2 linked regions of the Anolis sagrei genome follow. The protein of the gene in region 2 interacts with the protein of the main gene of each other region in a biochemical or structural test. Links are inferred from orthologs where the notes say so. Each region holds a gene or a part of one and is shown on either strand. Other genes may lie near its edges.

Region 1 (7,882 bases), on a different chromosome or scaffold from region 2:
CACACACACACACACACGGTTTTGCGCATGTGTTTAAATGTATTTTTGTTTGTTGGTTTTTTAAGTATCTTTCGCTGTGTTTTTCAATGTTTTTATGAGTGATGATCACTCGTTAGCATGATAGGTGTATTGTGTCCAAATTTTTGAGTTATGCTAATCCCACAAACGAGCATTACATTTTTATTTATATAGACACACACACACGCAAACACACATATACACATATACACAAATATACACACACAAAACTCATATACACAGACTGGGCCACAGTAACGCGTGACAGGGGATGGCTAGTGTCAAATAAGTTACATATCTTATACTATGGGACCTCTAGCAACCCTACTTGTCAATCAATGCTTGGCCCGTGTAACATATTCTTTGCAATCCACATTATTTACCTCCCCACTTAAATGCATGTTACAATTGTCAGTCCTATAAAGGGATAAGCTTTTCCAACCCCAAATAAGGGTGATCTTTTATAATAAAGGACATCGAGTAACTCTACTTGTGGCTCAATACTCAGCATCACACTCAGTGCATTACAACTGTCAGTCCTACTAATAAAAGGAAACCTTCCTGGGCATTTGTTTATATGTACCAAGAGACATCTGGCAGTCCTGCTAATGGAGAATGCTCAGCACATGCATGTTTCCCTTCGGGGCGTAGAAATTCCTGTTGTTTATCTCTCCAGCTAGTTCCCACCCAAAGGCGTGTTTTTACTTGCAAGTCCTATAAAAGGACAAGCTTTCTGGCCAATCTCTTATATATGAAGGAACTTATGGATCAGAGCTTGGCACTTGTGTTTCCCTATAGGGCACAGAAACCCCCTACAACTCATTGTTTACCTCTTCAGTGAGCACCCAATGAAAGAACACTTTAGTTGTAAGTTTTTTGGGCTGTATGGCTATGTCCCAGAAGCATTCTCTCCTGACGTTTCACCTGCATCTATGGCAGGCATCCTCAGAGGTTGTGAGATGCCTGCCACAGATGCAGGAGCAACATCAGGAGAGAATGCTACCGAAATGTAGCCTGAAAAACTTACAACAACCCTGTGATTTCCGCCATTAAAGCCTTCGACAATACGAAAGTACGCTTTTCAGTCTTTTAAAAAAGACAACTTTTATGGCTATCTAATAAGAGGCATCATTTATATACGTACTAAGGGGCATTTAGTAACCTTACTTGTGGATCAATGCTCGGCACATTGAAATCCTGCACAACCTATTATTTACCTCCCCAGCTAGTTTTCAAATGTGGTGGAGTCCCCTTCTCTGGAGGATTTTAAACAAAGGCAGGATAGCCATCTTTCGGGAGTGCTTTGATTGTGTTCTCCTGCATGGCAGAATCGGGTTGGACTGGATGGCCTTTGGGGACCCCTCCTATCTCTTATCTCATTTCAATTCTATGAAATGAGCACTCCCTGCAATGGAGAATGAATTCAGTATGATACTGCTTTGACTGCCATGGCTCAATGCTATGGAATAATAGGAGTTGTAGTTCTACAAGGTCTTGAGCCTCCTCTGCCAAAGAGTGCTGGTGCCTCACCAAACTACAAATCCCAGGATCCCATAGCATTAAAGTGGTGCAAACTGTATTCTTTGCTTAGTGTAGATCAATTTCTGGTCTTAAGTAAGATACAAGAAACTTGCCAAACTACAAATCCCAAGATTTCATAGTACAGTGTGCATCTGCACTGTCAAATTAACATAGTTTGACACCAATCTTAACTGCCATGGCTTAGTATTATCCTGGGAAGTGTAGTTTTCAAAGGTCTTTAACCATCTCTGCCAGAAAGGCCTTGCGCCTCACCACACTACAGATCCTAAGATTTCATAGTACAGGGTGCATATGAACTGTCGAATTAGCATAGTTTGATGCCGATTGTATGTGCCATGATTCCATGTTATCCTGGGAAGTGTAGTTTTCAAAGGTCTTTAACCTTTTCTGTTACAGAGGGCTTGTGCCTCACCAAACTACAGATCCCAAGATTTCACAGTATAGGGTGCATCTACACTAGAATTAATACAGTTTGACACCAATCTTAACTGCCAGGGCTCAATATTATCCTGGGAAGTGTAGTTTTCAAAGGTCTTTAACCTTCTCAGCCAAAGAGGGTTTGTGCCTCACCAAACTACAGATCCTAAGATTTCATAGCACAGGGTGCATCTACACTGTAGAATTAATACAGTTTGACACCAATCTTAACTGAACAGGGCTCAATATTATCATGGGAAATGTAGTTCTTTAACCTTCTCAGCCAAAGAGGGCTTGTGCCTCACCAAACTACAAACTACAGATTTTACAGTATAGGGTGCATCTACACTGTAGAATTAATACAGTTTGACACCAATCTTAACTGAACAGGGCACTATATTATCCTGGGAAGTGTAGTTTTAAAGGTATTTAACCTCTGCCCAAAAGGGAAAACTACAGATCCCAGGGTCCCAAACTGGATTAAATGCATAGTGTGGATGCACAAATATAGAACATGGAGGGAAACTCGGATTCCCCTTCTACACTGCAGTATAAAATCCAGATTATCTGATTTGAACTGGATTTTATGGCAGTGTGGACTCACATAATCCAGTTCAAAGCAGATAATGTGGATTATCTGCTTTGATAATGTAGTGTAGAAGGGGCCTGAAGGTGCATCTCTACACTGCTTGGCATCACTTCCAATTGCCATGACTCATTGCTCTTGGAACCCCTGGGATTTGTAGTTTGCTGATGCAGGGAAGGCTCAAGACCTTGTGAAAACTACACATCCCAGGATCCCATAGTATTGAGCCAGGGTATTGCTTCTATCCTAGATGCAGCCCAGGATAAATCAGTGCCAAAGCACTAGCCCTGTTCTCCTTAGAGGCAGCTCCAGAAGGTTGCAAAGAGGAGGAAGCAATAGGTTTGCAATGCAAGCAGACACTGTGCAATTTGGAAACAGGCAAAGCCCTTGCTCATTGGCCCCCATTATTTATATTATATTTCCCACTCACCCCCTCCCCACTTACTCTGTACCCGAAGCCGTAAGATCCCTCGATGGCCCTCCTCCTCCTCTTCCTCCTCCTCTTCGGTGTGTTTCTTCCTGCTCTGAGAAGACACTCCCTTCCCGTCTCTGACACCAAGGCTTTCCCATCAGCCCTCGGCCCCGTTACCTTCCCCTTCCCATGTTCCCAATACTCAGCTATGAGAGTCAATGCAAGCCCAGGCGCCGCGCCACCTGCTGGCCGCTTCCTCATATTGCACCCTCCAAGGGGATTCCCCCCCCCCCCAAGGCAAAGCTGTATACAGGCAGTCCTTTAGTTACAGACATATACTGTATATGGAAATGCGAAAGACTGCTCCAACTTCCGTACAGTGGCCCTTATTTCTCATGCCAGTAAGGTAATGCTCAAGATCCTGCAAGGAAGACTCCAGCAATACATGGAGCAAGAGTTGCCAGATGTTCAAGCTGGGTTTAGAAAAGGCAGAGGAACGAGAGACCAGATTGCCAATATCCGCTGGATAATGGAGAAAGGCAGGGAGTTTCAGAAAAACATCTATTTCTGCTTCATTGACTATTCTAAAGCCCTTGACTGTGTGGATCATAATAAATTGTGGCAAGTTCTTGGTGGGATGGGCATTCCAAGCCACCTTGTCTCTCTCCTGAGGAATCTGTACAAGGACCAAGTAGCAACAGTCAGAACTGACCACGGAACAACAGACTGGTTCAAGATTGGGAAAGGCGTACGGCAAGGCTGCATCCTCTCACCCAACCTTTTTAACTTGTATGCAGAACACATCATGCGATGTGCGGGGCTGGATGAATGCAAAGCTGGGGTGAAAATTGCTGGAAGAAACATCAACAACCTCAGATATGCAGATGACACCACTCTGATGGCCGAAAGCGGGGAGGAGCTGAGGAGCCTTCTAATCAAGGTGAAAGAAGAAAGCGCAAAAGCCGGGTTGCAGCTAAACGTCAAAAAAACCAAGATTATGGCAACAAGAATGATTGACAACTGGAAAATAGAGGGAGAAAATGTGGAGGCCGTGACAGACTTTGTATTTCTAGGTGCAAAGATTACTGCAGATGCAGACTGTGGCCAGGAAATCAGAAGACGCTTACTTCTTGGGAGGAGAGCAATGTCCAATCTCGATAAAATAGTAAAGAGTAGAGACATCAGACTGGCAACAAAGATCCGCCTAGTCAAAGCCATGGTATTCCCTGTAGTAACCTACGGATGTGAGAGCTGGACCTTGGGGAAGGCTGAGCGAAGGAAGATCGATGCTTTTGAGCTGTGGTGTTGGAGGAAAGTTCTGAGAGTGCCTTGGACTGCGAGAAGATCCAGCCAGTCCATCCTCCAGGAAATAAAGCCCGGCTGCTCACTGGAGGGAAGGATACTAGAGGCCAAGATGAAGTACTTTGGCCACATCATGAGGAGACAGCAAAGCCTAGAGAAGACAATTATGCTGGGGAAAGTGGAAGGAAAAAGGAAGAGGGGCCAACCAAGGGCAAGGTGGATGGATGGCATCCTTGAAGTGACTGGCTTGACCTTGAAGGAACTGGGGGTGGTGACGGCCGACAGGGAGCTCTGGCATGGGCTGGTCCATGAGGTCACGAAGAGTCGGAGACGACTGAACGAATGAACACAACAACAACTGTATATATGCTGTCGCACGCTGGGCCTGTGCATAAGACTGTAGACAGGACATAAATTCTGTGTGCCCAACGGGACGCCGGGGCTGCCTCAGATTAAAGGCCTTTGGATTTCCTTAAACAGAGTCTTTAGATTGCTTAAAGGTTCAACAATTTCTTTATTCATGAAAACAAACAAGTACTTTAATGCTTTCTTAACAGTCTATTGGCTCTCTATCAATCTTGTCCACAGGAACAGGCACTATCTTCATAAACTGTATTTTAGCTAATAGGGAAATCCTTAACTTCTAATCTGGGCAGTCTGCCTTTGCCTCTGTTGGCGTGGAGCCCCTGCACCCGGTACCAACTGTGCCTGGCTTCCGCGAGTGACCCTTACCAAGCAGAGCTTTGTAGCCCCTTTTACTCTCAGTGTGATAAAAACCTCAAAAATTACATATGGGTCTGGTTTTTTTTGTCATGTCAGGAGAGACTTGAGAAATTGCAAGTCGCTTCTGGTGTGAGAGAATTGGCCGTCTGCAAGGATGTTGCCCAGGGGATGCCCAGATGAATTGATGTTTTTAGCATCCTTGTGGGAGGCTTCTTTCATGTCCCCACATAAGGAGCTGGAGCCAGGCATTCTCATGGTGGTTCACGAAAAGGCCTTACTGGTGCATTATTTAAACTGTCATGTTTATTCATATCATGATCTGATCACCATACTCAATATATCCCATATGCATGGGGGTATTGGGGTAATGATACAAAAGGTTTGCTAGGCTAGACCCTCTTTCACTCAGACTCAGCCCCCCCCGAAACTCAGCCCCCCCCAACCCCCTCCCGAAATTTTTTTAGCCCCCCTCGAAACGAAATCCTGGCTACGGGCCTGGCTGGAGCTGATAGAGGGAGCTCATCCGCCTCTCCCTGGATTCAAACCTGCGACCTGTCAGTCCTGCCAGCACAGGGGTTTAACCCACTGCGCCACTCCTAATAACTTGTGACATACGTTCCAGTTATTATTATTATTATTATTATTATTATTAATAATAATAATAATAACTGGAACTTATGTCACAAGTACCACCTGCCAGCAGTAAAGAATTGGTGGGATCATAAACCTGCAAAGGTAGTGGAAAATGAACATGCAAAATTACAGTGGGACTTTCGAATCCAGACTGACAAAGTTTTGGAACACAATACACTAGACATCAGGATAGTGGAAAAGAAAAAAAAAAAGATTTATTGATATCACCATACCAGGTGAGAGTCGCATTGAAGAAAGACAACAGGAAAAACTCATCCATTATCAGGACCTCAAAATCGAACTGCAAAGACTCTGGCATAAACCAGTACGGGTGGTCCCAGTGGTCATCGGCACACTGAGTGTCGTGCCAAAAGATCTCAGCCAGCATTTGGAAACAATAAATATTGACAAAATCACAATCTGTCAACTGCAAAAGGCCACCTTACTTGGATCTGTGCGCATCATCCGAAAATACATCACACAGTCCTAGACGCTTGGGAAGTGTTCGACTTGTGATTTTGTGATACGAAATCCAGCATATAGATCTCGTTTGCTGTGATATACTGTGCTTTTGTGTCAGCAAAATAATAATAATAATAATAATAATAATAATAATAATAATGTTACCCACCTCTCTTCAAGGCTTGAGGCAGGGTAAATCATAGTTAAAAGAAATATGTAGAAACAGAAGACCATTGAAAAGCATATATTAAAAAGACATAGTCCTAAGAGTACATCACATCAAAATCATGCATAACAATAACATTTACTGGGTATGCTGACCAAAAGAGTTGGGTCTTAGTTCTATTATATAATATTGAAATGCTTTACAAATAACACTGTACTCTCCATTACAGGGTAGGAAATTGTAGAAAGTTAGAGGGCTATATTAGCCCTTTGGGCAACTTTTGTTTGTGGGGCTGCATACATCCCACAGCAAAATAGAGAGAAAAATCCAATTTCTTGTCCCAAGCTCTCTGATGCCCTCTAGAAGCGGAGAATGTTTTTGCCATTTGTAGGGGACATTTTAGGCTCAGAAAATGAACAGAAGTAACTTCTAGTTTTTAAAAAGGCTGTTAAAATGCAGTTTTCCCAAACTTTTTCAAACCATTTTTTAAAAATCCCTGGATGGCTTTTGGGGCCACAAACACAGCCTTGCCTCCTGCTTTACAATTTTTTTTAGTGATGGAGCGAGAGTTGCCAGATGTTCAAGCTGGGTTTAGAAAAGGCAGAGGAACCAGAGACCAGATTGCCAATATCCGCTGGATAATGGAGAAAGGCAGGGAGTTTCAGAAAAACATCTACTTCTGCTTCATTGACTATTCTAAAGCCTTTGACTGTGTGGATCATAATAAATTGTGGCAAGTTCTTGGTGGGATGGGCATCCCAAGCCACCTTGTCTCTCTCCTGAGGAATCTGTACAAGGACCAAGTAGCAACAGTCAGAACTGACCACGGAACAACAGACTGGTTCAAGATTGGAAAAGGCGTACGGCAAGGCTGCATCCTCTCACCCAACCTTTTTAACTTGTACGCAGAACACATCATGCGATGTGCGGGGCTGGATGAATGCAAAGCTGGGGTGAAAATTGCTGGAAGAAACATTAACAACCTCAGATATGCAGATGACACCACTCTGATGGCCGAAAGCGAGGAGGAGCTGAGGAGCCTTCTAATCAAGGTGAAAGAAGAAAGCGCAAAAGCCGGGTTGCAGCTAAACGTCAAAAAAACCAAGATTATGGCAACAAGAATGATTGACAACTGGAAAATAGAGGGAGAAACCGTGGAGGCCGTGACAGACTTTGTATTTCTAGGTGCAAAGATTACTGCAGATGCAGACTGTAGCCAGGAAATCAGAAGACGCTTACTTCTTGGGAGGAGAGCAATGTCCAGTCTCGATAAAATAGTGAAGAGTAGAGACATCAGACTGGCAACAAAGATCCACCTAGTCAAAGCCATGGTATTCCCTGTAGTAACCTACGGATGTGAGAGCTGGACCTTAGGGAAGGCTGAGCGAAGGAAGATCGATGCTTTTGAGCTGTGGTGCTGGAGGAAAGTGCTGAGAGTGCCTTGGACTGCGAGAAGATCCAACCAGTCCATCCTCCAGGAAATAAAGCCCGACTGCTCACTGGAGGGAAAGATACTAGAGACAAAGTTGAAGTACTTTGGCCACATCATGAGGAGACAGGAAAGCCTAGAGAAGACAATTATGCTGGGGAAAGTGGAAGGCAAAAGGAAGAGGGGCCGACC
Region 2 (8,153 bases):
ACTCTCCCAAAACATCCAGCAGCAGCATAGATATTTGTTAACTGTAAAGGTTTCAAGAAGGTCTTGTAATCTTATTCAGCTGGCTGTTACCTAGCTCCCATGATGGACAACCACCATAAGACAGGTTTCCAGTCACAGAAACTCTGTATCTGCCTTCAGCCAGTGTTATAAAGCTCTCTTCAGATCTCTGTGTAAAGGTTTAACTTACACGTGCTGAAGCAGGGCTTATGTACACAATCAATTCTGGGCCTTTCACACAGCCATATAACCCAGAATATCAAGGCAGATAAACCACAATATCTGCTTTGAACTGGGTTATCTGAGTCCACACTGCCATATAATCCAGTTTATGTTTAGCTACAAAGCTTGTTGGGAGGTTTGCAGAGAATGAAGTAGAGTAAGAGCCCTTCCACACAGCCCTATATTCCAGAATATCAAGGCAGAAAATCTCACAATATCTCAGTGTGGATTCAGATAAACCAGTTCCAACGCAGATACTGTGGGATTTTCTGCCTTGATATTCTGGGATACAGGGCTGTGTGGAAGGACCCCAAATGATTGAAATTTGGGGTACATGGGGTTAAAGACAAATATTGTTTCCGACTGTAGTATTGCCTGATGATACACAGAAAATTCCTGGGAGTATTTCTGGTTTTCAGGTCTTAATCCAGTGGTTCTAAGACTGTGGGTCCCCAGATGTTTTGGCCTTCAACTCCCAGAAATCTTAACAGCTGGTAAACTGGCTGGGCTTTCTGGAAGTTGTAGGTCAAAACATCTGGGGACCTACATGTGAGAATTTATTTATTTATTTCATTTATTTCAATTACTTCTACCCCGCCCTTCTCATCCCAAGGGGGACTCAGGGCGGCTTACAGACGAAGGCATAATTCAATGCCTGAATCAATTAACAAACAATACAGAGAAGCAATTCAAACAGTTAACAAATTAAAAACATCAATACATAATGAAATAGCAAAACAATCTCATGCTCAGTGTTCAGAGTTCCGTATATCCATTCCATTCCATCTGTCCTTGTTTATCGTCAGATCTTTACTTTAGCTGCCAGAATGTCCAAAAGCTTGGTCCCATATCCAGGTCTTCAATTTTTTCCGGAACGCCAGAAGGGAAGTCGCTGATCTAATCTCCCCAGGGAGTGAGTTCCACAGGTGAGGGGCCACCACTGAGAAGGCCCTGCTTCTCGTCCCCGCCAACCTCCCTTGTGATAGTGGCGGGGTCGAGAGCAGGGCCTCCCCAGAAGATCTTAAACTTCGAGATGAGAACCACTGCCTTAATCGGATTTTGCCCCACTAAGCAATGTCAGTGGATACTACAAGGTTTGTAGGATACTCCAAAGTATCCAGTTGCATAATAGCAGTCTAGACAGCTGAATCAAATCTGTTTCAGTCAAATCCCTTGTCCAGACACTGCCATCTTCACAAGGGAAGGGGATGGCTTGTCCTCAAGCTGCTAGTTTGGCTACAGAGCCCTATACTAGTGCCTGGCTGTTGCTTATCCAGTCTGCTGCAATCAGAAAGGATCACCTGTGCTATCAGCAAGAAGCAGGGAGATAATCTCTAGGAGAGACAACTGGTGTTTTGCATGTGGGCTTTGAGAGGAAAGCCCATAGTTCTGATTTGCTAAAAATGGATGGTAAGGGAGCTTATGCAGTCATCTGCAACAGCTGTGGTATATTAAAATAAGAGAATCATAGGCTGGAAGAGATCATAGAGGTATCAGCCCAACCTCCTGCCATGAAGGAACACAGGTGTCCTGAGCCCCTCTGACAGTGAGGACAAGGGTTTGTAAAAAGGACAGTACTGGAATTGGAGACCAGGAGCTCCTACCAGTCTTCCCAGCCTACCTTAGTTATTGCAGGAGGAGCAAGCAGAGGACAGTACATCAGGGCAGGCTGATGAGGGGTTAAGAGTTCTGTCCCTTTTAACAATTCAGATGTGAGCATGCTGCTAACAGTAGATCTGTGTGATTAGCAGAGGAATAGGGAAATAGGCTCTTCCCAAGCAAAAACTGAGAACATAGAATAAAATGCTTTCAAGTCTGTAGTCCTGTTTCTGGACTCTTTGGATTTGTTGACTTTGGAACTGTACCTTGGTCTCTTCATTTGGATTTTTGCTTCCAAGCTTGGACTTCGCTATTTGTGACTTGTTGGCTTTATTGATCCTGGAATTTGAATTCTTGTTGCTGCCTTGACTCTTGAAATCTTTTGGCGTGGCCATGTTGATTAGGATTTGGAACTCTGAACTTGTATCACCAACAAAGATTAGTGTGCAGCTATAAAATAAAGCCCCAATCACTCTACCTCTGGGCTGTTCATATGTTATTAGTTTGAATATTATTTATTTACCTCATAGTATTCCTAGTACATACTGCAAAGATGGAGACAGTTAAAGTAGGGTGAAATAAAGAATTTGTACTCAGAATTTATTGTAGGCTATCATTCATGGTTGAGTATGACTGTTTTCCAAGGGCAGAATCTTGTTGGTGGGTCCTATTCAGAATGGTTTGCCACAGTGAGGACATCCATTTCCAGATGGAATGCTGTCCCAACAAGAATTTGCTTGACGTTCTTTCCTCTTGGCATGTTTCTCCCTTTTACCCTCTATCTGAGCCTCTTCAAAATCCATAGTACTCTTGCTAACAGCTGACCTCCAGTTACAATGCTCAGATTTCCAGCTCTTTGTTTATTCCGCATTTTTAAAGGTTAGTTTTAAATCTTTTTCGCTTTCCACCAACATTCTGTTTTCTGTTCTTCAGCTGAGAGTATAGTAACTGTTTTGGGAGATGATGATTGGGCATTTGGATAATTTGGCCAGTCCAGCAAAGTTGACGATGAAGGATCACTGCTTCAATGCTGGTGGTCTTTACTTCTTCCAGAATGCTGGCAAACTGTGCCTATCTTCCCAAGAGATTTGCAGGATTTTTTTGGAGGCAACGCTGATGGAATTGTTCCAGAAGGGTAGAGTGATGTTAGTAGACAGTCCACATTTCACAGGCATCACAACCACTATAATCCTCGTCATCGTCATCATCATTGGCTATCACTTTCAGCCGACTCTGATTCTCTTCCAAGTGTAGAATCCTAGTGGTGGGTCTGCAAATGACTGTACAGACCTATTCTGGATCTGCTGGGTTTTTCTAAGTGAGGACATACATTTCACAGTTGTACAACAGAGTTGCAGGGACAATATCTTTATAAACAAACATCTTGGTGTCCCTACGAACACCCTAATCCTTGAACACTTCATTTGAAAAGATACTGCACTCACAGAGCTCAGACCGTGTTGTATTTCAGCGTAGGTATCAACTTTTCTGGAAAGGTAGCTGTCTATGGGTTGTGACCTGAAATGGGGGTCCCTGTCAGGGTCACAAAAAATTGGACTGCGTAGTGTTTACAGTGCACAAAAATAAAGACTTTGTCTACAGAATTTATCATAGGCTATCACTCCTGGCTGAGTGTGACTGTTTTCCAAGGGCAAAGTCTTGGTGGTTGGTCCTATTCTGGATCTGCATGGTCTGTCACAATGAGGGCATCGATTTCCAGATAGAAGGCTGTCTCAACAAGGGTTTGCTTGACATTCCTTCCTCTTGGCATGTTTCTCCCTTTTGTCCTCTATTTGAGCCTCTTTAAAATCCATAGAACTATTGGTAATAGCTGACTTCCAGTTGACATGCTCAGGTTCACAGTTCTTTGTGTTTATTCCAGTGGTTCTCAACCTGTCGGTCCCCAGATGTTTTGGCCTTTAACTCCCAGAAATCCTAACAGCTAGTAAACTGGCAGTGATTTCTGGGAGTTGCAGGCCAAAACACCTGGGAACCCACAGGTTGAGGACCACTACTCTATTCCATATTTTCTAAGGTTACAATGAGAACATGGATTTCCAGAAGGGAGGCTGGATCTTTCAGTCTCTTTTGTTGTTCACCAGCATGCAGTTTTCCATTTAATGGATGACCATCCCAACTATTCCTGCCTCTTCAAAATCCGTAGCACTGTTGGTAAGGGCGCACCTCCAGTTATGGAGCTCCTAGTGGCGCGATGGGTTAAACCCTTGTGCTGGCAGGACTGGTTGACTGACAGGTTGGCGGTTCGAATCTGGGAAGCAGGGTGAGCTCCCTCTGTCAGCTCCAGCTCCCCATGAGGGGACATAAGAGAAGCTTCATACAGGATTTTTTTGTTTTTTGTTGTGTCAGGAGAGACTTGAGAAACCGCAAGTCGTTTATGGTGTGAGAGAATTGGCTGTCTGCAAGGACGTTGCCCAGGGAACGCCCGAATGATTTGATGTTTTATCATCCTTGTGAGAGGCTTCTCTCATGTCCCCGCATGAGGAGCTGGAGCTGGTAGAGGGAGGTCATCGGCCTCTTCCAGGATTCGAACCTGCGACCTGTCAGTCTTCAGTCCTGCCGGCACAGGGGTTTAGCCCACTGTGCCACCGGGGGCTCCTTCATACAGGATGGTAACACATCAATCATCTGGGCATCCCCTGAGCAATGTTCTTGCAGACAGCCAATTCTCTCACACCAGAAGCAACTTGCAGTTTCTCAAGTTGCTTCTGACATGGAAAAAATAAATCCCAAGACTCCAGTTACAATGTTCCCAATATGGTTATTCCATAATTTTTTAAAATGAAGGCCACACAAAAAAGCAAAATCCGCCTCTTTAGCAAGCCTTGCAAATGTTTGATTAGTATACTATACCTGGCATCACGGGTGGAGGATGTTTAAGGAGCCCTGCAGCAGCCTCATCACACTAGACTAGAGGACGAATCCACTTTAAATCCGGTTGCTGCCTCCTGCAGAATTCTGGGGTTTGTAGTTTAGGGAGGAGCCTTTAACAGCCCCAGTGGGGCTGTTAAAGGCTCCTCCCTAAACTACAAACCCCAGAATTCTGCAGGAGGCAGAAATCGGATTTAAAGTGGATTCGTCCTCTAGTGTGACGAGGTAGCTGGTGGCATCAAAGGAAAGAAGGAGGCACAGACCTGGATCTCTTCCTCTCGTTCTCTCCTCCTTCAGCCGGTGGCCAGCGTGGGAAGCCTCTGGAAGGAAGCTCAGGGAGGGAGAAGCCAAACGGGAGGCAGGCAGGCAGGCTCGGTTTCCCTTCTCCTCCTCCTCCTCTTCCTCCATTTCTTCTTCCTCCTCCTCCTCCTCCTCTCCCGCGCGAGGCATGTTAATGAGGGGGAGGCGCCGCCGCCGCCCATTGGCCCTCCAACTGGCGTCGCTCTGAAGTCAGTCACGCAGAGAGGGCTTTTCTTGTCGCCGGAGGCAAAACACAGCGGGGAAACATTGATACGAGGCGGTTTATTGTCCAGCGTGGAAGCCGGAGAGAGGGCCGCCGCCGCTGCTGCTGCTAACGCCTCAGGTAAGAGAGCGGGGCCTTTCGCTTGGGAACCACCAGGCCTCGTCGAGGGTGGAATCCGTTTATGAGGGGATGGGGGGAGGGAGGGAAAGGGAGGGGGGCCGCGCGCGCTCCCGTCTCGCGCTCTCCCCTCCTCGCGCTCCCGTCTCGCGCTCCTCTCTGGCGCGCGCGCTCTGCCCTGGCTCTCTCGGAAGGCCGGTGGTCCGCAGCCTCGCTGCCATCACAACAAATGCCATTTCGCACCTCTGCGTTTGGTTTCTCGCCAAGCAACCGTAATCCTTGAGATATATAGACTATTGCAGTTGGCCTCTGAGGTGCTCATTCGCTTGTTGGTGACAGGAGTCCTCTTGACTGCACACACAGCAGGAATCAGCTGATGATGGGAGTCCATTTTGGGGCCTTTGGTGGCTCGCGACCGGGAAAATAGGATGCAGAGGGTCGGGGAGAAGCGCCACGGACTGTAGTTGATGGAGAGGTTGAAAGCCTGAGCGGATAAAGCGTGTCTCTAGATCTGGAAAGGGGGGGCAGCATCTCCTCCTGCCAGGTCCCAGGGACAGTTCTTGCCGCTGTCCCTCCTCGCCTGCAGAGAATGACATTTCCAGGGCCCCATCCGCTCTGATAAGCCTTCTTGTGAGTGGAAGGAAGGAGCGCCAAAGTGGCCTAGTGCTTCAGCCAGGCAATTTTTCAGCAGGTCCAGGAGTCAGCAGAATAATGGACCACTTTGGGCCCTTCCACACAGCCCTATATCCCAGGATATCGAGGCAGAAAATCCCACAATATGTGCTTTGAACCGGGCGCCCTTCTACACAGCCCAATATCCCAGAATACCAAGGCAGAAAATCCCACATTGTTTGAGTGTGGATTCAGATAACCTAGGGCCCTACCGCACAGCACTATATCCCAGGATATCAAGGCAGAAAATCCCACAATATGTGCTTTGAACCAGGGGCCCTTCCACACATCCCAATATCCCAGAATACCAAGGCAGAAAATCCCACATTATTTGAGTGTGGATGCAAATGTGAGTAGATCAATAGGTACTGCACCGGCAGGAAGGTAACGGCTCCCCATGCAGTCATGACCTTGGAGGTGTCTATGGACAACGCTGGCTCTTCGGCTTAGAAATTGCAATGAGCACCACACCCCAGAGTCAGACATGATTGGACTTACTGTCAGGGGACAATCTTTACTTTTACCTATTCTAGAATACAGGCTGTGTGGAAGGGCCCTTTGGGGGAGATTGAATGATATCTCACTAGGCAAGACACTGCCTTTGTAAAACTATGTATGGCTCCTTTGAGCCCCTTCCTCACAGCTGAATAAAATCCCACATTTTCTGCTTTGAGCTGGAATATATGACAGTGTGAACTCAGATAATCCAGTTCAAATCAGATATTGTGGAATTATCTTTTGGCTGTGTGGAAGGACCCACAATATGGACTCAGATATTCCAGGGGCCCTTCCACACATCCCTATATCCCAGAATATCAAGGCAGAAATTCCCACAATATCTGCTCTGAACTGGATTATTTGAGTCCACACTCAGATATTGTGGGATTTCTGCCTTGATCTTCTGGCTATGTGGAAGGACCTGCAATGTGGAAGCAGGTATTCCAGGGGCCCTCCCACACATCCCTATAACCCAGAATATCAAGGCAGAAAATCCCACAATCTCTGCTTTGAATTGGGTTTGCTGAGTCCATACTCAGACAATGTGGAATTTTCTGCCTTGATATTCTGGGATATAGGGATGTGTGGAAGGGCCCCAGGTGTTCATCAATCAAAGGTCACTCGGGACCTTTCCACACAGCCATATTACCCAGAATATCAAGGCAGATAATCCACAATATCCATTTTGAACTGGGTCATCTGAGTCCACACTGCCATATAATCCAGTTCAATATGGATTTTATACAGCTGTGTGAAAGGGGCCTAGGCATGAGACCGCCTTTGTAAAACTGTGTCTACCTCCCTATGTGTTGACTGATCAAAGGTCACGGGAACATTCCCAGGGATTGCTTTATCTGGGGTTTATTAATTTGCACACAAAATGTAAATAGGGCCATTTTTCTAGCAGGATTTTCTCCTGATGTTTCACCCACATCTGTGGCTGGCATCCTTGAGTGATTCTGACCATAAAAGCCTTTGACAAAATAAAATATAAACACTTGACTGTTGTTTTTTTTTACTTTGACTTTATTATATACACAATCCAAAAAAAACGTACTCCTCTACCCCCTCCCCCTCCAGCCGGAAGTGTTTGTGGGCCTCTCCATGTCCTCCAGTGTCATTCTGTGGTGTGCTTCTTGCCCAAGTATAGTCACAATACAGGATTCACTGTAACCCATGGTTTCTGGTATCTTGGAATGTATCGCCTGCCAATATGGGTCCGGGGGGGGGGGGGGTTGTGCTGTGTATTTAATCTTGAATGAGAGAAAACAAAATAGCGAGCTTTCATGAATTCAGTCAAGGTTAGCTCCTGCTCAGCAGAAAATAAAACCATTTCTTGTCTGTGTGGCACTGGAACTTGCTGTTGTGCTTCTCTACTCAAGATGGTTTCCGTCTTATTAAATGAAGCAAAGTTGCTGTAGGTCTATTGTACATATTCCTTTCTCAGGAAACCTTATGTGTGGTTTTGGAAATGTTAAGGGCTTGACCAAATCGTTTATTTGACAAAGATGGTTTTGTCTTCTTTCATGTTGTGGGTGATGTATACCTTTGGATTCTAGGCTATTCATTTACATTTCTGCTTCCTGCAGTTTGTTCTGTTCATAGAGTTTATTCT

What was found.
Region 1: the proteins of SORBS1 (region 2) and FLOT1 form a complex in vitro, tested with the Homo sapiens proteins (2 studies listed by BioGRID). The link is inferred for Anolis sagrei from reciprocal best matches to the Homo sapiens genes SORBS1 and FLOT1.

What each region holds. Positions count from the first base shown.
Region 1 is NC_090022.1:21,579,402-21,587,283, reverse strand, and holds the start of FLOT1 (flotillin-1), read right to left. Parts: upstream 3,087-7,882; 5' UTR 3,009-3,086; intron 1-3,008. UniProt on the Homo sapiens protein: May act as a scaffolding protein within caveolar membranes, functionally participating in formation of caveolae or caveolae-like vesicles.
Region 2 is NC_090023.1:141,372,174-141,380,326, forward strand, and holds the start of SORBS1 (sorbin and SH3 domain-containing protein 1), read left to right. Parts: upstream 1-4,954; 5' UTR 4,955-5,371; intron 5,372-8,153. UniProt on the Homo sapiens protein: Plays a role in tyrosine phosphorylation of CBL by linking CBL to the insulin receptor. Required for insulin-stimulated glucose transport. Involved in formation of actin stress fibers and focal adhesions.